Regions from separate parts of the Mus musculus genome. Here regions 2, 3, 4, 5, 6 and 7 are each reported to be linked to region 1. The links are microRNA targets in miRTarBase. Many come from high-throughput screens and were not tested one by one. Region 1 holds a microRNA gene; each other region holds the end of a gene's coding sequence.
The links. Region 1 holds the annotated microRNA mmu-miR-1192 (AAACAAACAAACAGACCAAAUU, at 1,788-1,809, shown strand). A microRNA usually pairs through its seed, bases 2 to 8, with sites in the 3' UTR of a target mRNA and lowers its output. Matches are read on the target gene's strand: a 7mer-m8 pairs with bases 2 to 8, a 7mer-A1 pairs with bases 2 to 7 and ends in A, and an 8mer does both.

Region 1 (3,095 bases):
GAGCGCTCATGTCTCCCTCCCTTGTGAGCTCCAGGGGCTTTGAATCTGTGATTAAGGAGGTTTTATTTATATTGTTGGTTTAGAGCTGTGCCGGATGGATGCTGATGCCGCTTAGATGAGTTAATCAGGTATAGGGGCTTGGGGGAGTGGCCCAGCCTCTTCCTCTCGTGCCCAGCCAACCTCAGTTCCTGAAGCAGCTCCAGGCCAAGCTCAGAGTCCTTGCTTTTTCCTTCCTGGAAGGCCAAGAGTTAGTATTTGTCTTGCCTCCTCAGTAAGTGTAGGACTAGCAGTGATATTGGGAGAATGGCGTCCTCCACCAGAGTAGGGAGGAACCCAAATTTTTTTTTTTTTTTTTAATTTCTTGGGTCTTTCTCCACATTCATTCCCACTTGTTCCTAAACACACACGTTTGTGAGGTGTGTCTTCAAGCCTCTTTTTGTCTTAGCTGCACACTTCCCAGGTGCTCGGGGCTTTGGAAGCCTGTGGTAAGAGCTGAGAATCTGGACCTGGGATCCAAAGGTTTCCACTCCATCATCCCAGGCCAGAGCTGCTGGGTCTTTGCGTGAATGAAAGTGTTTTCTGGGGTTGGGGGATGGAACCTGGGCCTCCTGAGTGCTGCTAGCACTGTGTCTTGGGCCCCTGAAATTTATTGATTTATTTTTTGTTTGTTTGTTTTTCGAGACAGGGTTTCTCTGTGTAGCCCTGGCTGTCCTGGAACTCACTCTGTAGACCAGGCTGGCCTCGAACTCAGAAATCCGCCTGCCTCTGCCTCCCAAGTGCTGGGATTAAAGGCATGTGCCAACACTGCAGATCATTGTGGCTCAGAACAATGGGAGAAAGGTTGGGGGACTTCAGCACCTGCCCTTTACAGGGGATCAGCTCTGCTAAGATCACAGTTAGTGACGACAAGGCCCTGGCCCATCAGAATAGTGAGTGACTTCTCAGGAGCTCTAGCTAAGGCAAGGGGCTTCCAGAAGAGCCTTTACCTTCACCATAGAAACAGAGGTACCGTGATGGGAGCATGCACCTGCCCAGGCCTAACCTAACCCTGACTCCATAACTCTCATCACAAAGACTCAAGCAAAGCTTTTATCTCCCTGAAACCTCAGGTTTCTCACCTGTCAAATGGGGTTCCATAATTATATATATTCATGAAATTATGAGGCCACGTTCAGATGAGTCATTTAAAAGATTATGCATGCCAACCTTTTGCTGAGGATTACTACAATTAAAAAATATATATTTTACATACATATCCCAGACACCTTTGAGAGCCTTAGAATTTTTGTTTAGAATTCTAGGTGGACTCAGGATGGTGCTGAGCAATGGTGACAAGTGAAAGGTGTGTTAGATGGCGACAGCCATTGAGACTTAGTGAGCACTATCGTCCTGAACATGTAGTATGTCTCAGAGCCTGAGCTAAGTGGCTTACGTGCATTTCACTTGAATGTTAATCCCATAAGACCGAATAGAAGTGTGTTGCTTTTCTTGTTTAAACAGGAGGAATCAGACTCGTCCAAGGTTATGCTGAGATATTCCTACTGTTGTTTCAAGGTCTAAGTTGTACGTGAGGGCTGTTGAGTGGCTTGCTCCCAGTGAGAAGAGATTCTGTATTTATTCTTATGGCTCTTTTGGGTTTGGCCCTAGAGCCACCATCTTAAGCTGTCTTCCTTGTGCCCCAGGTCTGATGTGAAGATAGTTTTCATGAGTTTTAGTTAGGAAAGTCAACAAAAATAACTGCTCCTGACCTTGTCACCCGAAACTATTTCCTTCCAAACAGTAAAAACAAACAAACAAACAGACCAAATTTGTCATTGTTGTTTCGATTTGCTCTTTTTGTTTGTTTGCTTTTGTGTTTTGAGACAGGGTCTGGCTTGTATAGCTCATGCCAGCCTGCAACTCTATGGTCTAGGCTGTCTTTCTGCCTCAGCTTCCAGACTGCTGAGATGACAGGCCAGTGCTGCCACACCTGCCAGGGGCTGGGTTTGGGATCCATAAATAGGTTGCAAGCAAGAAAGTCCAGACTTGGACTTGCTCTGAGCTGGGCGTTGTGTCTCTCACCTATAATCCCAACACTTGATAGGCTTAGGCAGCAGACAACTGCCACGTGTTAGAGGGCACACTAGGCTACTTAGCAAAACTTAAAAAAAGATTAAAAATGGAGATCCAAGTTCAGGAGTTGCTGAATGCAGATGGACATTCAGTGCCCCCTCTCTCTATGGCTTTGCCACCCTCTTGCTGGCTCTGGCTTCATTCATGAGCAGGCTGTCTCTGAATGGTACTAAAATGGCTGCCAAGCAACACCAGACTCACTTCCTGCCAATTCAGCAAAGCCCCACAGAAAGACTACTTCCCATTCCTAATGATTCCAGCAAACAACCCAGGCTGAAAGCCACGGCTAAGCTTAAGTGGTGTGTCCCTTATGAAAACAGACTTATTTATCCAAGACTCTCAGGTCTGAAGGTGTGGGCTCAGAGAAAGGACTGGCTGCAAAGGGAAGCAAGGTGCACTGTTCCTTACCAGTAGAGGAAGATAGAGGCCAGACAAGGCGAATCAAACACCGATGTCCACTTAGGCTTGCAAATAGGCTGTGCCAAAGAGCAGCATTTATTTTCTCTGCTCTCCTGAGCTTAGCAGAAAAGATAGGCTCTGAGCGAATGGACAGAAAGGACCTGGCAGAGTACAGATAATTTCAACATATTTTACAAGTGCTCATGCACTCACAGGCCCCCCTGAGGAGATGATTGGGGAACCAAGACCAAACAAATGCTTCACATGGGACAAGTTTTATAAGCAGCCGTGTGATCTTCAGGGTTTTCACATCATCTATTCCAGTGCTCTGAGGGATGAAATGAATCACATTTACGTGAGCATTTATTATCCCAGGTGTTACTTAATAGAGAAGGTCTCTGTAAAGATGAGCCATTTATGTAGTGGTTCCTATCGAGATTCCAAAGTCCTTTCAATGTGCACCGTACTCAACAGAAACACCACAGTAAATACAGGAAACAGAAAATAGAGCTTACACACACACACACACACACACACACACGCCCCAAAGTGACTTAAATTCCTGGGCTGCCGTAATTCCGTTG
Region 2 (3,095 bases), not on the chromosome of region 1:
CAACCACACCTGATGAGACTTAAAAGGTTTGACTATGAAAAACTTGAAAAATTAGCACAATACACACAAAGTAAGATATATACACCATTGTTTGAGTATGTGAATGCAGAGGCCAGAGATGACACTGGGTGTCATTCCTCTCAAGGCGGGTCGCTCACTGAAACTGGAGCTCCCCAGTTTGGCCCAACTGGCTGAGTGTTGGAATCCAGTGTTGCCTTGGCAGCACAGCAAGTAGTAGCGACTGAGCCATGGTGAACCTATTTTAGACCAAGGCAGCAGTGCTGGTGAGGCACACCTCTAAGTGACCTGCAGTATGTGGTGGAGCAGAGCTTAGGTTTGGTGGTCACTACCGGTTTTAGAGAGAACACTTCACACTTTCCTATAGGATGCAGGAAACTGTCGCTGTATAGAGAAATAATGGCAAAGACAAAGAGAAAAGTTGAATTTTTTTTTTTAAAAAAAGCACAAAACCCCTACATACTAAAATGATACACATCAAGTATTGATCCAATCTTACATCGACCTATTGACAATTACCAGCACCATGTTTTTTTCTCACCTAGGTTATTAACCTATTGACAATTTCCAGCACCTAGGTTTTTTTCTCACCATGCCTGGAGGATTGTTATTCAAAGTATATGTTCCTTTAAAATTTAAACAAACAAACAAACAAACAAAAACCAAAAGACCCCACAAATCTCTTAGGACAAACCCTCAAGAAACAAGACCTTTTAACAATCAGGTTATTCATGACACCATCAAATTTCCTTTAGAAAAATAATAGGTTTAACCACTTTTCCAACTGACGGACTTTGAGATACTGTTATTCAATATGACAAATGAACCAACCTTCTTGATGGTGGGAGGGAGATGCACTGGAATACCCTAGAGCCTCCACATGGAAATGTGGGCATCCTTGGTTGCTAAAGCTGTGTGTGCACTTCTGAATTTAGATCAGTCACCACCAAATCTAAATTAGATACAATCACAAACTAAATGATGAACAGAATTAGGGAAATGGTTAAAGTTCTCAGAAATGTAAGTTATAATTATAGATATATTTAAACAGGCTATAAGAAATTTAATACTTAAAAATTACATTTTAAACTGCTTAGAGGTTTCATTCTGCCACTAAAATTATGAATGGCATTTTATATCCGAATAGGAGGTTTGGTATTTCCTGACTGAGAAAAGCACAGACCCTTCTTTCATCTACTGTTCACATCTCACAAACTTTCAGAGACAGTGTGGTCACATGATAGTCCCCTTCTCAGGGAACCAACTTTTTTTTTTAAGACACAGTCTCACTAAGTAGCTCTGGCTGGCCTAGAACTAGCTGTGTATTCCAGGCTGGTCTCAAATTCTGAGATCTGCCTCTTTCTACCTCTCAAGGCCCAGGATTAAAGGCAGGTACAACATGCCTGGCAAAAACAGCTTTTAAAAGGCTCCAGATTAAATATAACCCTTGGCAGCTTTCTCCAGAGAAGGTGAGCCTGATTTACTATGTTCAGTCCCTTAGCCCAGTGTGCAGATGGAGGTTAATTCACCTTTGTTGGGAAGGTGTGGGAGGAACCCTGCCACCACAGTGACTGGAGTCAGAGTTAAGTGAAAGCACTCCAGTCTGAGCCAGGCGCTACCATCTGTTCCCACCAATGCAGTTTAAATGACACTAGTTAGCTATCACACACGAACATTTTGAATTGGAATTTTCTCCAAGGCTTAGAATAGGCACAGTTTTCCCAGGAACAGGCAGAGAGGGTTTTACTCACATTCCCTGCAGGCAGGAAGGAGAAGATTGCTTTTCATTCTGGACTGGAAGCAGCTATACTCCATTTCTGTCTTGCCTGGCCCAGGAATATATAGGCGGGGCCAGGAAGCTACAGAAATGGTCACGCAGAGCATCAGGGTCAGCAAAGACATCACATAGTAGCTAGCTGTCAAGCCTGGGTCCACAGATATGTTAAGATTACTATGAAGCAAGACTAGAAACTTCTCAACTGAGAATACAAGCTCTAACTACTTACTAACGTGCTGCTCAGGGCGCCAGAGGGTGCCCGCTGCCAGCATGACGGCCACAGGACTGAGTGCATGTCAACAGGGAGCAGAACTTGGTGGGAGGGGAAGGAACACTGACAACTCCCAGTCTCACTGCCTCCTGGTGGGTAGGACTACAAACCCAGAAGAGAAGCAAAACTCTATGCTCTTTTAGGTTCCACTTTAAAAGAAAAAAAAGATTAGGTTTTGTAACTGTTATTGATGGTTCTGGAAAAAAAAAAATTTGACATGTATGTCATAAAAATTCTGTGTCCAAAAGGTGCTTGGTGCTGTTTTTGATGGGTCTGGTGTCTGTTTACATTCGAGATCATTTAAATACAGCCATTACACAGTTGATAAATGTTTTAAAATAAATGGTTATCTATTTCTTAACTGTCTTTCAAATTAGAAATTGTAATTATAAGAGTATCAGAGGCTGGCTCTGTGTGTTTTATTATTTTTGTTGGTCTCCATCACAGATGGAATTTTTCACTGGTAATTCCTCAGAACTAAATCCATTCATAGGGAATTCAGAGCAGTGAAAATAAATTTCACGCCTTAAGAGTAAGAAATGGTAACAATAAAAAGGAGCCACGGGATCTTGGAAGAAGGCAAGTCCAGCTCAGTTCTCCACTGGTGTTGGGGTTTGCACAGGCTGGCTCACTATAACCTGCACCACATAGTCCTTGGGGATCTTCAGCTCCTCCAGCTTCATCTTATCCGTGAGAGGCCTGCCAGAGAAGAACCAGCGCTGGCTGCCTGGCTCCACGCCCTCTGTGGCGTGTAAGCGCCTCTTCATGTGAAACACTGTGTCTGTGCTGCGGACCACGAGCCTGAGGTCTTTGCCTGTGGAGAGCCGCAGGCGGAGCTGAGATTCGTGTCCAGAATTGGGAGGTGGCTCAGGAATATCAAGAGTCTCTATGTCACTCTTTTCCTCTATCATGTTGATTGGTGGTGCCAGGCAATAGACTGGCAGCTGGTACCGGTTCCCCAGCTCATCGTAGCACTCTGTCAGTGCACCTGCAGAGAGAGGGGACAGGGACAGTTTCAGTGAGTGTGCT
Region 3 (3,000 bases), not on the chromosome of region 1:
GAAGAGTTAAAAAAAATAAGAATGATTAACAGTTCACCTTTTCGGAGACTTTAATATTTCTGCACAAAGAGTGAGAGCTTTCAGTGAGCACGCTGGTAAACTCAGGGATCCCTTCCAAGAACTGTGAAAGTCGGAGACTTCAGAATTTGATTGAGGATCCTTATAAATTATTAGACTGATGACGGCCTCACATTTGTCTAACTGCGCGTCCAGGAGTCTCCCCTTTCCACTGCATGCATCTGTTCCCTGTCTCCTTACTCTGGCCGTGAGTTGGTGACAGGTTAGCATTTACAGATGGCGCCACCTTAGGTAGACAGAAGTGCTCAAATCTGAGCCTGCGGTACCGTTCACTTAACAATGCCTCCCAGTGTGAGTGGGAGCTGGCCTCTCCTTCCCTCCCTGTGCATGTCTGGCCCTGCTCAGATAGCAAGACTATGAAGTCTGCAGGGAGAGAGAGGGGCGCTGTCAGTGGTTCTGGATCTTCAGATAAATTATCAAATCTATTCATAAAACATTTAAAGAAAATCCCAACAATGGTATAGGCACCTTGTCAACTAAATAGTTTTGATAAACACCAAAAAGTAGTTACACTCTTATATATATATTTTTAAAAAAGGATGAAACTGTTAAGTCTGTGGTATTTACTGCTGCTCATTCCCCAAAATACAATTAGGACATAATTAACTATTAAAAAATTTATAAAAATTTAATAAAAAACTTTGCTATGGATTTAGTGTTACCCACTTTGCATTAAGTTTGCCTTTATAAATCAAAACATCACAGCTCTCATTCTTAAATGACCAAAGCGATTAGAAATTTCAAAGATGTTCTAAAGAAAATGATGGTTTAAAATGACAAATCTTTTTTGTCATTTTAAATGGCCTAAAATTTTTCCCTTGATTGTTTCCTCCTTTGGCATTCTGGTATTGGGACAGGAAAATTTGCCAACACCAAGCTATTGAACAGTCATGATAAAACTATCCCTCTAAATTCCGGATGTTCCATCCTCCACGTGGTAGAGCAGCAGGGACTGAGTTTGCGCTGCACACCTGCTTTAGCCATCACCTCAGAGCTGCAGGGCACAGCAAGCACACATGCACTTCCAACTTCCTATGAGTTTCACAACAGATATATGACTATAATTATCAAAGCCTTAAACATCTAACATATACTTTACTTCTTTCCAGCAAGGAGACCCCAGCTGCTGAGCAGCAGGGCAGATCCACAGCCCTCTGTGGTAATAGGATAGATAATACTGTATGCTTCTCAACACTCCATCTTCTGCTAGCTTCAGAACCAATACTTCAAAATACTACTTAACATCAAAAGTTCTAAAATTTGCAAGAAAACTCGAAACGTGCACCACAATGAGTAAAATCCACAGGGAGCCATTTTTCCTGCTGGGGAATAATTCTCTTCAGTTGCTTGAGTCCTCAATCTCTAAGTTTCCACTGCTCTGTAAAGTCCTGAGTCACTGCTCTGGATCACTGAGAGGAGCAAGGTAGGTGTTGCCCTCTGAACATTTTAAAAATGTTTATTTTTAAAATATATAAATATATGTACATATTTGGCAAGGTTACTGCTCATGTTAAGACTAACAACTTTGAGTGCTTTTCAGGTTGCAGGTTGTAATCTCACCTTTCTTCCTGCTAAGTGGCAGGTAATTATTACTTTTAAATAGAGAATGTCTTTCCAGAAAACTGAGGTGGTAAATCCCTAATCACAACACTTTCAATCACCAAATAATTCTATGCTACAGGTTAAGAAAGCAATTCTCTCACTGCACTGCATCAGAATATTTCTGCATTGTTTTCAACAAATTCAGGTACAGTATAATAAATATTAGACGTATGAGAATTGAGTGTATTAGTAACACACTTAATTTTTGCTTCAAGATTCTGATTATGCAATCAATAATGTACGTATACCCACACATTTTTTAACTGAAGCAACATTCATTATAAACTTCATGTTTTCAAAACAAGCTCTCCAGCCGTACAAGGTTTAAAAGAAAAATCCCAAATCTTTATCATTTAACAACAAATAACTAAACAGAACTCTCCTGCTCATTGAAAATCAGGATTTATAAGGTAGAAATATTTAATACCATTTCAGGTTACCATTAAGATCCAGTCACTAAAGTGAAAGCAGTGTTTGACAAACAACTTGACACTGGCACACGTGTCTTCTCAAGTGTGCCTGCCCTTGCCCAGCACAGTGTTGACGATTCATTCTTTGCATCAGAAGTAGCTTAGTGCTACGTCTAGCTTTAATTTCATAAAAAAAAAAAAAAAAAAAGAATTTAAAAAACCCAAACAAACAAACAAAAATCCCCAGCATTTTTCAGTGCATGAATATCTGAAAATCCTTCCTTGTGCAAGTATATTTCTTTGAAGAAGAAAAGGGGATAAAAGAAGCAAAAAGAACCCCACCCTCACCCTTCCGACATGTTATTTCTCTAGGTGGGTAAAAATTGAATTGACTTTGAAAGTTCACAATGGGCTCTTCATGAATGCAATTTTCTCCACAAAACAGCATGCTGTTAAAGAGTGTGCAACATGAAGGGAATGCCATCATGCTAACTAATGTGACTGGCAAAATAGAGTCGTTTTGTAAGGTAAGGCAGAGTTTAATATTTATGTAATCAAAGTCCAAATAAAGCTTCCTCCAGCTGGGGCTGGGACAGCCTCTGCCCAGGCCTTCAGGGGCGTGTGTGCGGCAGCAGCGGCCCGGCTAGGCCATGTAGATGAAGGTGTTGATGTCGGCCTCGTCCCTCCGGATGTACCTGTGTTCAATCAGCCACTCCATCTGCTCCTTTATCATCTTCTTCTGAGGCAGGAACATGTTTTTCAGAATTTCTACTAATTCAGTCTGCAGCTGGGCATTGCTAATTTTCTTTCTCATTTTCATTATTTGTATGATGGCTTCCTAAGAGAAAAATGAAAATGAAAGTACATTAATACATTCAATTAATTTGAGCAAAGCAAACCAGTAACTTTT
Region 4 (3,095 bases), not on the chromosome of region 1:
GTCTTGCCCATCCTTTCTTGCTTCACGAGGTTTATGGCTGGCCTGACCTTCGTCCTCCACGGCTGTTTTAGATTTATCACGTTCTCTTGTCCCACGTCCCTGGAGCCCCTCAGGACCTGTGCCGTCTTGCTGTGCATTGGTTATCAGAACCTTCCAGATGCAGTTTTCCAGTTTCTACAGAATGTTCATGACCTCTTGAGCAAGCTGCTGCACCCCAGTGCCCCTCGGCAGATTTTACAGTTCCTACCAATGGAGGCGCTCCTTCAGGGGACGCTGCTTGACTTTTTGTGGGATTTGAACGCTGCCATTGCTAAAAGGCATCTGCATTTGATTATTCAAGGAGAGCGAGACCAAGCCATCGGCAGCCTTGAGTTATAAAATTGAGCACGGCATTGATGACGTGCAGCCGTTTTGTGACTTACAGTTTCCGATTTCATTTTACCTGCCCTATTTATTTAATACTTTTCATTTTGGAGAGACACCAATTTGTGTATTAAAGGACATTAATTGTGGAAAGTTGTGGCTTGTTCTGATGTGAAGGATATATGACTCATAGGCACAGAGTTTTTGTGGTAGGAGCCGTGTACTGATGGTATTTAGCCCCTAATCATGTGACATCTGTATGTGTTCGAGTGGCTACACGCTTGCTTGCATATACAGTTGAGTCAGTCTTATCTGCTGCAGACTTACACCCTGTGCCTTCATTCAGACTTTTTCCCCAACTGATTCCTCTCTTAGGCTGATGCTTTTAATGATTGTTAGAGGTTATTTATTCATGACAGGAAGTGAGTCACTCTCTGGCTTCACTATTTACCTGGAAGCACTTGGCATGTCTGTGGACTTCAGGGATCTTTATTCCAGATTGTTTGATATGTGCCATTGCCTTTTGATTGGTGGCTTCATTTTCTTTGAATTGAAATGAAATACAGATTTTTTTTTTGTATGACTTTTGCTAGCTATAACTACTTCAACTAATAAGAAAGAACAGCTTTAAGCCAAAACCAAAGGTCATTTTTGTACAGTGAAAAACTGTGTCTAGTACTCCTTTGTCACGAAACACTTCCTTCAGCAATGTTGGCATTTTTAAGGAAAGATGGTTTTAAGGCTTGGTGTGCAGTCTCCTGTGGGTTACACCGGAGTGTGATGGTTGTGGCGAAATGTAACCCAGAATGATGGCTAAACAAACTTTGTATCTTTATTGGTTTTGTTTTTTAGTATGAAAATAGCACCTTACTGAGATTATCCATGAGATAGACATTTTTATCAATTTCATTGAGAAATATGTATTTAATAAATAATGAACTTTTCTACCAAGGTGTTAATTTGTCATTATTTTGAAATTTTATAAGGTACATAATTAGACCTCATATAAATTTTTAGGTATTTCTTTGTTACTTAAAAAAAAAAATAGAAGTATTCTATCATGTATCCAATTAACAAATAGTTCATGCTCTGCTATTTCTGAGTTCCATTACAAGCCACAAATAAAGTCTTCAGCAGGTGTGTTTTGTGTTTGTTTCATTAAAAGATAATCATAGTAGAAGTTTATAAGTTGGAAACTTCCAAAGGAAGGTTGATTGGGAATTAATGTTTCATTTCCTTTCATTTGCATTCATGAGAATGTACTCCTTCAATGTTCTATTCATGGGAAATCTTCAGGAGAGAATTTGTACATGTCAGGGGCTGGGCTAGGGGGGTATGGTCCGGTGGTGAAAGTCTGAGGTGGTTTCTCTCTGAAGGAACTTCCTTTCCTACCAGTGACTTGATGAGGGTGGGTCTGGTTAGTTGCAGTCTACCAGGAGAGAAACTACTCTTGCTGCCTTGTTAGTAATAATGGATTGGGTTTTGTTTGTTTGTTTGTTTGTTTTTTTTAACTTATTTAACCCATTTAACTAGGATATAGATAAACATTTGAGTTTAGGACAAAGTGAAACTTGCTTTTGTGTGTGTGTGTGTGTGTGTGTGTGTGTGTGTGTATACGTACATATGTGTTAGTATGTACATGTACTTTGAGGTCCTGGAGGCCAGAAGACTGTGGGTCTCTTGGACCTGGAGTTGTAGGTGGTTGTAAGCCACTTGATGTGCCTTCTGGGAACTAACTTCCAGTCCTCTGCAAGAACAGCAAATGCTCTTAACTTCTGAGTCCCCAAAACTTACTTTCTAAGACCATCAAAGATTGAATTTTTCAAAATACTAATCTGTATTGCAATATAGAACATTTGAACATGCTTAAACAGTCTATCATTTTTAGCATGATATGGGGGAGTTGAAGGAAAATGTCTTCCATAGGCTCTGGCATTGAGCACTTAATTCCCAGTAGTGGCGCTGTCTGGGGAGGTCTAGGAGATTTGGCCTTACTGGAGAAAGGGCCTCACTGAGGGGCGGGCTTTCAAGTTATAAAAATGTGCCATTCCCAACATGCCCTCTGCTTCTTGCTTGCCATAAACATGAGCTCTCAGCATGAGGCACCAACCCATGCTTCCTGCTGTGACGGGTCACTATAAAAGGAGCTGCTTGGCCCCTCCTCACTCTCTTTAAGCTCTCACCTCTTTTTCTCCTCTCTAGCCCTCCTCCTCTCTCTCCCTTCCCTCCTCTCTCCACATGGCCATGGCCAGCCTTTCTCTTTCTACCTTCTCTCTTCCCCCTGCCTTTCTACAATAAAGCTCTAAAACCATAGACTGTCTCTGCTCATCAAGGCCCACTGTGCTTGAACGATGGGATAAGCTTTCCGCTAAGGAGCTGTCTAACCTCCTGCTGGAAGACCTTCCTGCATTCCAGCCACGGACCAAACCCAGGTCTCTCGCCCTTGTGACAATCCTTTCGTGTCCATCACCCAGTGCACTGGAACTCTGGCGGGATGCGGGCCCTTGCCCACTCCCTTTATTCCCCCACGCTCACTGACCCACATCTGGTCCTTTTATCTGGCTGTGCTATCAGGTAACTGTGGGGAGGAGCATACCTGGCTATAGTCAGGTAGCTCGGGGGTGGGGGTGTGGGGGTGGAGTCTAGACAGAAGCTTGGGACATTGTGTGACTTATAGTCACAGAATCATGGAGTTTGGGGCTCTGTGGTGTCAGACACCTGACTCTGGGAAT
Region 5 (3,095 bases), not on the chromosome of region 1:
TATAACGTAGAATCTTCTGTGAAATGTACACGTGAAAATACGGTAAAGTCATAGTGTTACAAACCAAAGAAAATCACATACCATTAATAACTCACTTATCACATTTAGAACATGACATCTATTTGTTAGAAGAGTTCTTTGGTTCTTCTTATAAACACCCCTTTACCACTTAATGCGTTTTAACTAACAGTACATGTGAACACTAAAAGAAACACTCTTCTTGTTATTAGCAGAGAGAGGAACATGCATGCATTCACATTGTACTGTGCTTTGTGTGGAGTATATGTTATGGTTCTGTTGCAGCTATAATCTTAAAAAAAGAAATTAAGTTTCAAATATTTTTAATTCTCCAGTAAAGTATTTTCACAACCTATTAAAAATACAAATTTAACTGTATTTCATTTCTTTTTCCAGTAAAGACAGCATAAAATAAAGAGCCGCTGCACTCAGGTAAATGAATAATTGGCTAAGACTTGAGTAAGATGTAGAACATGAAAATGCATTTATAGTCCTTTAATCTTTTTCTTCCCAAGCTGACAAAATACAATTAAAGCTTCTGATATCTAGTTTCTTACTGTAGCTTATGAATTATTTAATTGAAAGTGTAGTTTCCTGTGATGTAATGCTACTTCAGGAAGTCCCTAAAATTATATTGGAGCTGTGACCAATCTATTCATTTACTCTAAACCACAAAACTTTCTGCCACTCTAGTCCTACAACTGTTTTTCTAAGACTTTAATAAAGAATGGACACAGGCCGAGCGGTGGTGGCGCATGCCTTTAATCCCAGCACTTGGGAGGCAGATTTCTGAGTTCGAAGCCAGTCTGGTCTACAAAGTGAGTTCCAGGACAGCCAGGCCTATACAGAGAAACCCTGTCTTGAAACAAACAAACAAACAAACAAACAAACAAATAAAAAAGAATGGACACAGGTAGTTATTAGGTTAATACTATATAATCTAGCATAGACAGCCAAACAATAAAGACCCTAAAAGAAAGTTTTATCATTTATTTGTCTAAGCTCTTTCCTATACAACTGAAATATTAGTCACAAATCCTATTTTAAAGCTCATCTTCTAAAACAAAACAACACCCCAAACCTAAATAGTGCTGACTCAACATTTTATTTCTACTTTACTCCTAGTGCTTAGTCTAGATGTCTGGAGTAACATTTAGACATGAGAAAAGTTCAGGCATCTCAAGTCAGAAGTAAATATTTGTTAAAACCTTTGAGAGTCAGGGCCATGCCTCAGTGGTAGATTATTCAACCCCCTTTCTCAACTGAAAAGTTACTACTGAATGTCAGAAAAATCAGCCTAAAAGATAAATGAGTACCGTAAATGCTTCTCTCTATCTTAAGATGAAAAGATACATTACTTATTATATTGTCATTTCAAAAAAGGGCTTCCTAGGAAGTCTTTAGTGCTTCTGTTCTGAGCAGATATTGGGTTAGACATGGTTTAATATGAACTCCTCCAGAATTATTTATTTGATAAACCTATCTATATGAAAGAAGCAAAACCCAAATCACTTTTTATCAAAACCCACAGCTGTTAGTAGTGTCTATAAATGAATTCTGTGATTTATTTCTGACAGTTCTAATCTGTAGTATATTCACAGCAAGCGTATAAAGCTTCCAATTCTATGGGGAAACACATAAAATTCACTATTAAGCAAAAAAAAACAACCAAACAAAAAGTCATCGTATTTGAAATAGCAAGCAAATTATAGTCTCAGTAGTGAAAACCACAAGAAATCTATCCAATGTGACAGACATATTTCAGTTACCTTGGGTTTTTTTGGTCCTTTTGTTATTTTGTGTTTTTCTTTCCAGAGCTGAGGACCGAACCCAGGGCCTTGCAAGCAAGCGCTCTACCACTGAGCTAAATCCCCAACCCCGACAGACATATTTCAAATATTTAATGTATAACCTGATTTTGGAATTTACAAAAGTAATTATCTTATATAGAAGCAGAAAATTCAGGATTAAAAATCATTACTGCCAGAATTGATTATATCATTAAGTATAATCTTAAAGGACTCCTGCCTTAGTTGGAGGAAAAGAACAAAAATCCATATATTGTGACTCGCTCAGGATGAGATCTAGCTATATATTGTGACTCGCTCAGGATGAGATCTGTGACACTGTAAGGAGGTTAAGAAGCTGTCAGTCAGAACCATCTTCTTCACAGTGCTCCAGTGACCTCTTAAGAACACACTTTTATAAATACAATAAAAGATAATACTATCAATTATTTGCTGGTAAAAACACATCACCTAAAGTAAATTCAACACTGGACATAATACAGATGAGAAAATTTTTATTATTTAGTTTATTTATAAGGTTAAAAAAATTAGCCTTTTGTCTGTTCTTATAAGTAGATGTTATCACTCAATTTTTGAAGACTTCAAGTCAACTAACTCAGAACTTTAAGAAGCGTTAATGATCCCTTCTGAGGCAGCTTGTGTGTTCTACTGTTCATCAAATTTACTGTTCCAATAAGCCTAGGGACTGAGATAAGATGGAGCTGACAACTATCTCCATAATCTTAAAAACTAGGTGAAACAAATGTCCTCGTGGTCCACAAGACAGTCAAGTGTAGACAGATCACTTGACTAGCAGCTAGCGTGTGACTACATAACTTCTAGCAGCAGAACACTCGGCACAGCCACGAGCAAATGCTTTCATTCAACTGCAAATTAATTTCTCTGTAAGAAATGATTTTTTAAAATACTCTAAAATATTGTTCACCTGCCCACAAACATGAAACACATCAAAGATCTTGTTTGTCTCCATTTTTCCCTGTAGAATCAGGTGCACTGGAAACCTTATTAGTTTCAACAAAAACAGATTCAAAGGCAGCTTCCTGTTCATCCAAAGGATTGGTGGTAGTGACTCCTTTAATTAATGTTGGGTTGGTAAAAGACTGTTGTTGCTTGAGCATTGTACTCGATTCTATTGTTTTTCTGCCTCTTCTTTTACCAAGAATTTTGACATAATTTGCAGGTATAAGTCCTGTTGTTTGACCGTCAAGACTAGCCAGAAGCCAACCACGCACTTTGGGTTGTTGTTCTGAAGAAAGAGAAAGACAGCTT
Region 6 (3,095 bases), not on the chromosome of region 1:
GGTTAATAGTCCAATCTAGCTGGTCACCTTGCTGTTTTATATGAAGCGTGCCTTCAAGTGATACCCATGACAAACAGCAGAGCTTGTGGGCGAGTCAGAGGGTAGAGCTTTGACATGCAGAAGTGCAACTCCTAATAACATCTTTGTGTTGCAATCTCTAAACCCCAGTGAAGTCCTCCAGACCCCAGATGGAGGCCAGTTCCTTCTAGACTGGGCCGAGCAGCCTAACAGCACTCACTACCCGGACCCTACCACCCAGCCCATAGTACTGCTGCTTCCAGGCATCAGCGGCAGTAGCCAGGAGCCGTACATCTTACACCTAGTTAACCAAGCTCTGAAGGATGGCTATAGGTAAGGACAGGGTACAGAACTTGGGAAGGGCAAAAGTACATCTGACCCTGATATGGTACTCTCTGACAGGGGCCTTTCTGAAGACTATCAAGGGGAGGGTCTTCTTGGGAGGGCTTGGCTCACACTCCTATCTTGCCCCAGGGCTGTTGTATTTAATAACCGAGGATGCCGAGGGGAAGAGCTGCTGGTGAGTACCCTCCTCCTTTGTGGTGGCCCTGTCCCTGTTCCCTTTAGAGACCACTGGCCCTAGGGCTCTACCTACTTACCAACCCCCTACCCTTCCTGAGCCCTTCCGCTTGGCTGTCTTCTGGCAAGAGCCTCCCTCCCTAGTCAATGACCCGCTTTGCCCTCAGACTCACAGGGCTTACTGTGCCAGCAATACTGAAGACCTAGAAACAGTTGTGAAGCACATAAAACGTCGCTACTCCCAAGCTCCACTGCTGGCTGTGGGCATCTCTTTTGGAGGGTAATAGTTGCCTGGGTTTGTTCATCTTGTCTTTTTCTCCTCTTCTGTCCCAGTGTTCCCATGCCAACACTTTCCATGGCCCTGCATCCAATTTTACAGGATACTGGTGCTTAACTATCTGGCACAGACTGGGAAGGCTGGAGGCTTGGTCGCAGGACTGACCATTGTCTGCATGTTGGGATTCCTTTGAGACCGTTGACTCCTTGGAGACCCCACTCAACTCACTGCTCTTCAATCAGCCACTCACTGCTGGACTCTGCCGGCTTGTGGCCAGGTAGGATAGCAGATGGCAGGCTCTGCCAGTGCTTGGGTCCATTCCAATCTGGGCTTTCTTGAGGAGGTAAGAAGACAGAAGCTGTGAGCTCTGGGTTAGGTGCAGGAGTTCAGACAAACCCTGATGTATTCTTTTCCAGGAACCGAAAGCCAATTGAAAAGGTGTTGGATGTAGACTTTGCGATAAAGGTATCTTTCGATCACCCTCTCACCCCAGTGTTGGTCTCCTACGTTCTAATATTATAGCCTACCATGCCTCTACCACACAGGCCCGCACGATCCGCCAGCTGGATGAGCGCTACACATCTGTGGCTTTTGGGTATAAAGACTGTGCGGCTTATTACCAAGCCGCAAGCCCAAGAACCAAGGTAGATGCCATCCACACCCCTGTTCTCTGCCTCAATGCAGCAGATGACCCCTTCTCCCCAGTCCATGGTGAGTGCCTGCAACGAGGTCCTGATCCCACAGCTACTGAGCCATAGATGAGGGTTGAGGTATGAGCCTGGGTTCTCATTCCCGGACAGCTTTCTGACCTCCTGACTCCCTTCTAGCCTTCCCTCTGCAGGCTGCCCAGAAGTCTCCCTATGTGGCCCTGCTCATCACAGCTCGGGGTGGCCACATTGGCTTCCTGGAAGGGCTGATGCCCTGGCAACACTGTTACATGAACCGCGTACTACATCAGTATGCCCGAGCCATCTTCCAGCACTCAGTGGGGCTACCTGACCTGGGAGTACTCACTCCTGAAGATGGAAAGAGCTGACAAGAGGACTGCTGGGCTCTCGGTTCAATTGTTCTCTCTTTATTAAATATCAACTCTTCCTGCCTAACGAGCTGAGGTTCCCTTTCCTCAGGCTGCAGTAGACCCTCCAGGAACTCACTATGTGTCTGGACTGACTGGCTTGGTGCTACCCACAGAAGGCCACAGATCACCGCTACCGGGGTCCTCTTTGTGCCTCTTCCTACCCTAACAGCAAGTGCCAGCACAGGCTCTGTCTCAACAAAGCCAAGGCCCTTGTGTGAAGGCTGGAGGGGAGGAGGAGAAACAGTTTCTGTAGGAAGGATGGCAATGTCTCCAGGCTCTTGGGCATCTTCACATGCTTCTAGAAAAGGAAGAGCTGAGCTCTGGAGCCCTGGGAGGGAGGCTGAGGGAACGAGGCAGGCACTGTGGCCTGAGCTTCAGACCACAATGTCTTAAGTGGATCCACAGGTGAAGGCAAGAGCTCCCAAGACCCAGAGTGATCGAGAGGCCACCGCCAAGTGTGAGCTGAGGGACAAGCAGTACCCATCAGTTTCATCAGATGCAGCTTCAGCCGTGGGGCTCAGTGATTCTGCTCTGGAAGGCGGCACTGTCCAAGGCTGATTCCCATCGCTCTAGAGGTTAGAGAAATCCCGGGAAGGCAGTCTGGAGCAGCAGGATGGTCACAATAATAAGGCCGACACACAGCAGGAGCAGAAGCCATACAGGAACACTCCCTGTGGGTAGGGCAAGGGAAGAAATGAGTGGGCAAAGATGCTTTGGAACTTGAAAACCAGAACCTTTAACCTCTTTCATTCAAGGAGGGGCAGGTAGATGGATAAAAACAGTCCATTTTCCAGGGGCCAATTTTTGCTATAGCTAAAGTGGTACCCTCCCTGCCAACACACACACACACAACAATGACTCACGCCGTGAAGGCAGCAGGTGCAACTGGCAACGACTATCCACAGCCACAGAGAAAAGAGCAGTTTCATGGGGCCCAAGGAGCTTTGGACCACAACCCTTCTCAGGTAGAAAGGTCACATCTGTTACCACAATGCCATGGGCCTCCTTCACATAATACAGGCGCTGGGGGAGAAAGCAGTGAGGAAAGCCTAGTTGGAAGCTACCTTCGGGGAAACACGCTCCACAGTCCTAACAGGCTTCCCCTGTGGACTGGGCCAGATCCTTCTTGTGTCATCAGGGCAGACAGAGTAAGCTTGTAACCCTCCCATGGGGATGTGCCAACCGCTGCCATTACCTGGAGAG
Region 7 (3,095 bases), not on the chromosome of region 1:
CAGCAGCCTGACTGCACTGTGTGCCTAACACTGCTCTGGACGGTCTTCGACCAAGCAGACCTCTGATGGTTGCTCTTCCCCACCCCCAGGAAATCGATGGCAAGGCCCTGCTCCTGCTGCGCAGTGACATGATGATGAAGTACATGGGCCTGAAGCTGGGGCCCGCCCTCAAGCTCTCCTTTCACATTGACCGGCTGAAGCAGGGCAAGTTCTGAACAGGAGGCACTCTTCTCCCAGGAAGCCGCCCGCCAGCTCCCAGGCACCTTAGTAGGGCTCTGGGTGACCTCAGGACTCTAGGAGGCTGGAAAGCCACCACTGCTACCCTTCCTGCCCTGATGTGTCCTTCCATGAAGGACTGAGGAGGGAACAGTGGGCCCGGGGCTGGTGCTGCTCTTCCCCTTAGCCTGCTGTGGCTCCCAGGCCCTTCTATTTATTTCTCAAGGCTAGCCAGCCTCTCTCCACAAGTTTAGACGAGCACCTTTCAAGAGATGAGGAAGACGCCAGCCCTAGGACCTTGAAAGGCCCTGGTACCCAGGCCCCTTGCCACCTCCTGGGCTTGGCATAGTGTCCCAAGGCCCCCAGCTCATGCCTTCTCACTGGATCCCCAGACTCTGAACTTATGGTGCAGACCTTTTTTAAAGAGATCCTTTCTTATTGCTAATTTATTGCTTCTGGCGTTTGGACTTAATGCTTCTCTTGCACCAAACAGTTTTTTGGAAGAGGGAGACCATCCTCTGGTCCAGAGAGGGCCTCTCCAGAGAAGTGTGGCCTATTTCAGAAGACACTGCCCTAGGGCACTTCTTCTCTGGAATGGACAAAGTATTTGGCTCACTGAGCAAAAGGTGAGGGTCTCTCTTCCTACACTGGGTCCTTTGTAGCCCCAGTCTTCATCTCTGATGGAGTTTCCCCTCTCCCTGCCCCCACAGCTCCCTGCCCTGGTCAGAATTGCTGCAAAAGATGGGGCCTAATGCAATTAGGTCACGGGGCCCCAATGGTGGGAGGAGGACCTCAAGGCTGGAGGAGTTCTGCCCTCTGCTAGCTCCTGTGCTTTCCTCCTAAGCAAGTCAGCAGCACTGCTGCCCCCACTGCCATCTGAACTATTTTGTGTCCGTTTGTTTATAAATAAAAACCAATACAAATGCCCGTGTCTTTTTAACCAGTTGATATCCAAATCACTCAACAAGCAGGTTACCCCTTCACTTCATCTTGGTTCTTTCACATGTAAAACAAGGAGCCTGAGCCGGATCATCCCTAGGAACTCTTGCCTCACAGTCCCAAAGAACAGGCTACTGTCCAAGTGCCCACAGCACTCAGCATCGTGCAGGCCCCAGGCTTTCTCCCAGTTGCTTCACTGTCAGGTTGACAATCATTTGTACTATAGTTCCATCAAGCCAAGAAGCAATCCAAGAGATAGCAACTCCAGAGCCTCAGTAGGCTGCTTTCCCTCCTCCTCGTGGGGTGAGAAGAGGCAATACAGACAGCCTTCATGGTACCCACTGTACTGAGCAAGGATCATGCAGCCTATTGGCTTACAGTGGGAGCAGGTTTACAGGAGGTGAAGAAGGCTGACTGGAGCCAGTGTAGGACACAACAGCCTGAGATAACAGCCAGGGAGCCACCAAGCTACACTGCTGCTGTGGGAGTGAGAGTTGTGGGGCCGACGGGAACAGGCATGGCCAAGTCTTCAGAGAGCCTCATCCGGCCACCCTGTGGAGCTAGGCCTCTTCCTGACCTGCACACTATTGCCTTTTTACTTCCCTGCAGTTCCCTGCCCAAGCTTCTGCCTCCAACCCTACGTGCAACAAAGGCTCAGGCATGCCTTCAAAATGGCTGCCCTCAGGAAGGCAAACAGCTACTTGATTGAACCAGTCAGTCACTGTGGTCTCCCTCCCCCTTGTTCCCAGTAATCAGGGTCACTAGAAGTAGAGGAGGGAAGTGTGTGATGAAGTATTTATCTGGGAGCCAACAAGGTGACTTGGTCAGTAAAAAGTGTTTGATCCCCAAAATTCAGAGGTAGGAAGGAGAGAGCCAACTCCAGAGTTGTCCTCTGTACTCCCTCCCCCATATCATACACAGTAATAAATCAGGGTTCTTTTTCCTTCCTTCTTTCCTTTCCTTTCCTTTCCTTTCCTTTCCCTTTCCTTTCCTTTCCTTTCCTTTCCTTTCCTTTCCTTTCCTTTCCTTTCCTTTCCTTTCCTTCTCCTTCCCCCTTCCCCCTTTTCCCCCTTTTCCCCCTCTCCCCCCTCTCCCCCCTCTCCCCCTCTCCCCCCTTTTCCCCCTTTCCCCCCTTTTCCCCCTCTCCCCCCTCTCCCCCCTCTCCCCCCTTTTCCCCCTTTTCCCCCTTTCCCCCCTTTTCCCCCTTTTCCCCCTTCCCCCTTCCCTTCCCTTCCCTTTCTTTCATCCACTCATTCATTTGTTTGGTTTTTCGAGACAGGGTTTCTCTGTGTAGCCCTGGCTGTCCTGGAACTCACTCTGTAGACCAGGCTGACCTCGAACTCAGAAATCCACCTGCCTCTGCCTCCCAAGTGCTGGGATTAAAGGCGTGCACCGCCACTGCCCGGCATAAATCAGTTTCCAAATAATGATAAAAAGTCCTTTTGTAAGCTAAGACTTGCCCTCAAGGAACTAGCTGCCACATTGTCAGAGGCTGCATGTCACTCAAGCAGCAGATAGCTCTGTCCCTCAAGATGGCTAGCTGACTTTTAGTTCCTTCTAGATAGCAATAACTAGAAATATCTGTGTTTGACACATAGAGAAACCTTGTATCAGGGGAGCCCTGGACCACACCATGTACTTTTTGGTTCATCCTGGGAGCAGCTAGGTCTGGTCAGTGGTCAGTGGGAATTGGGGACGAAGGAAGGAAGTGGAGACTTTAGACTGCAGAGCCAAAGGAGATGGTAAGTGGTGGCTTGTGTATGCACCGAAGGCTGGAGAGGTGGTGTAGAGGGAAGAAGTGTCTTCAGGTCCACAGTTCTAGATTTTACTCCAAGGGCCCCATGGGCAAGGTGTGTATCGATCGAGCTGCTGTGTCTGCTTACATTATCTACCAGACATGATGGTTGTTGAAGTCTGTCTCACTCAGCATCCCAACCCTG

Region 2: the mRNA of Ubtd2 is a reported target of mmu-miR-1192. Seed matches in the 3' UTR shown: 7mer-m8 at 669-675, 7mer-m8 at 665-671, 7mer-m8 at 661-667 and 7mer-m8 at 657-663.
Region 3: miRTarBase lists Cul5 as a target of mmu-miR-1192. Seed matches in the 3' UTR shown: 7mer-m8 at 2,319-2,325 and 7mer-m8 at 2,315-2,321.
Region 4: the mRNA of Cmtr2 is a reported target of mmu-miR-1192. Seed matches in the 3' UTR shown: 7mer-A1 at 1,388-1,394.
Region 5: miRTarBase lists Pex13 as a target of mmu-miR-1192. Seed matches in the 3' UTR shown: 7mer-m8 at 903-909, 7mer-m8 at 899-905, 7mer-m8 at 895-901, 7mer-m8 at 891-897, 7mer-m8 at 887-893 and 7mer-m8 at 883-889.
Region 6: the mRNA of Preb is a reported target of mmu-miR-1192. The part of its 3' UTR that is shown has no 7-base or 8-base seed match.
Region 7: miRTarBase lists Scmh1 as a target of mmu-miR-1192. Seed matches in the 3' UTR shown: 7mer-m8 at 1,111-1,117.

What each region holds. Positions count from the first base shown.
Region 1 is chr19:23,147,663-23,150,757 of GRCm38, forward strand. It overlaps Mir1192 (microRNA 1192), which reads left to right and starts at 1,769; the gene lies at 1,769-1,889. The region is part of intron 1 of Klf9 (Kruppel-like factor 9); the gene reads left to right.
Region 2 is chr11:32,516,049-32,519,143 of GRCm38, reverse strand. Ubtd2 (ubiquitin domain containing 2) reads right to left here. Exons shown (of 3, transcript NM_173784.4): 3 at 435-3,054. The coding sequence ends at 2,657. Among named protein-coding and RNA genes, the nearest start is that of Efcab9, 10 kb to the left of the region's middle.
Region 3 is chr9:53,615,083-53,618,082 of GRCm38, forward strand. Cul5 (cullin 5) reads right to left here. Exons shown (of 19, transcript NM_027807.4): 19 at 1-2,928. The coding sequence ends at 2,734. Among named protein-coding and RNA genes, the nearest start is that of Acat1, 6.2 kb to the left of the region's middle.
Region 4 is chr8:110,222,986-110,226,080 of GRCm38, forward strand. It overlaps Cmtr2 (cap methyltransferase 2), which reads left to right. Exons shown (of 2, transcript NM_146215.4): 2 at 1-1,504. The coding sequence ends at 378. Among named protein-coding and RNA genes, the nearest start is that of Cmtr2, 6.6 kb to the left of the region's middle.
Region 5 is chr11:23,646,519-23,649,613 of GRCm38, forward strand. Pex13 (peroxisomal biogenesis factor 13) reads right to left here. Exons shown (of 4, transcript NM_023651.5): 4 at 765-3,072. The coding sequence ends at 2,774. Among named protein-coding and RNA genes, the nearest start is that of 0610010F05Rik, 14 kb to the left of the region's middle.
Region 6 is chr5:30,953,175-30,956,269 of GRCm38, forward strand. It overlaps Preb (prolactin regulatory element binding), which reads right to left. Exons shown (of 9, transcript NM_016703.3): 7 at 3,088-3,095; 8 at 2,756-2,915; 9 at 1-2,563. The coding sequence ends at 2,469. It also overlaps the pseudogene Abhd1. Among named protein-coding and RNA genes, the nearest start is that of Preb, 5.6 kb to the right of the region's middle.
Region 7 is chr4:120,529,045-120,532,139 of GRCm38, forward strand. Scmh1 (sex comb on midleg homolog 1) reads left to right here. Exons shown (of 18, transcript NM_001379185.1): 18 at 90-1,156. The coding sequence ends at 215. It also overlaps a transcript of Slfnl1 not described here. Among named protein-coding and RNA genes, the nearest start is that of Slfnl1, 1.6 kb to the right of the region's middle.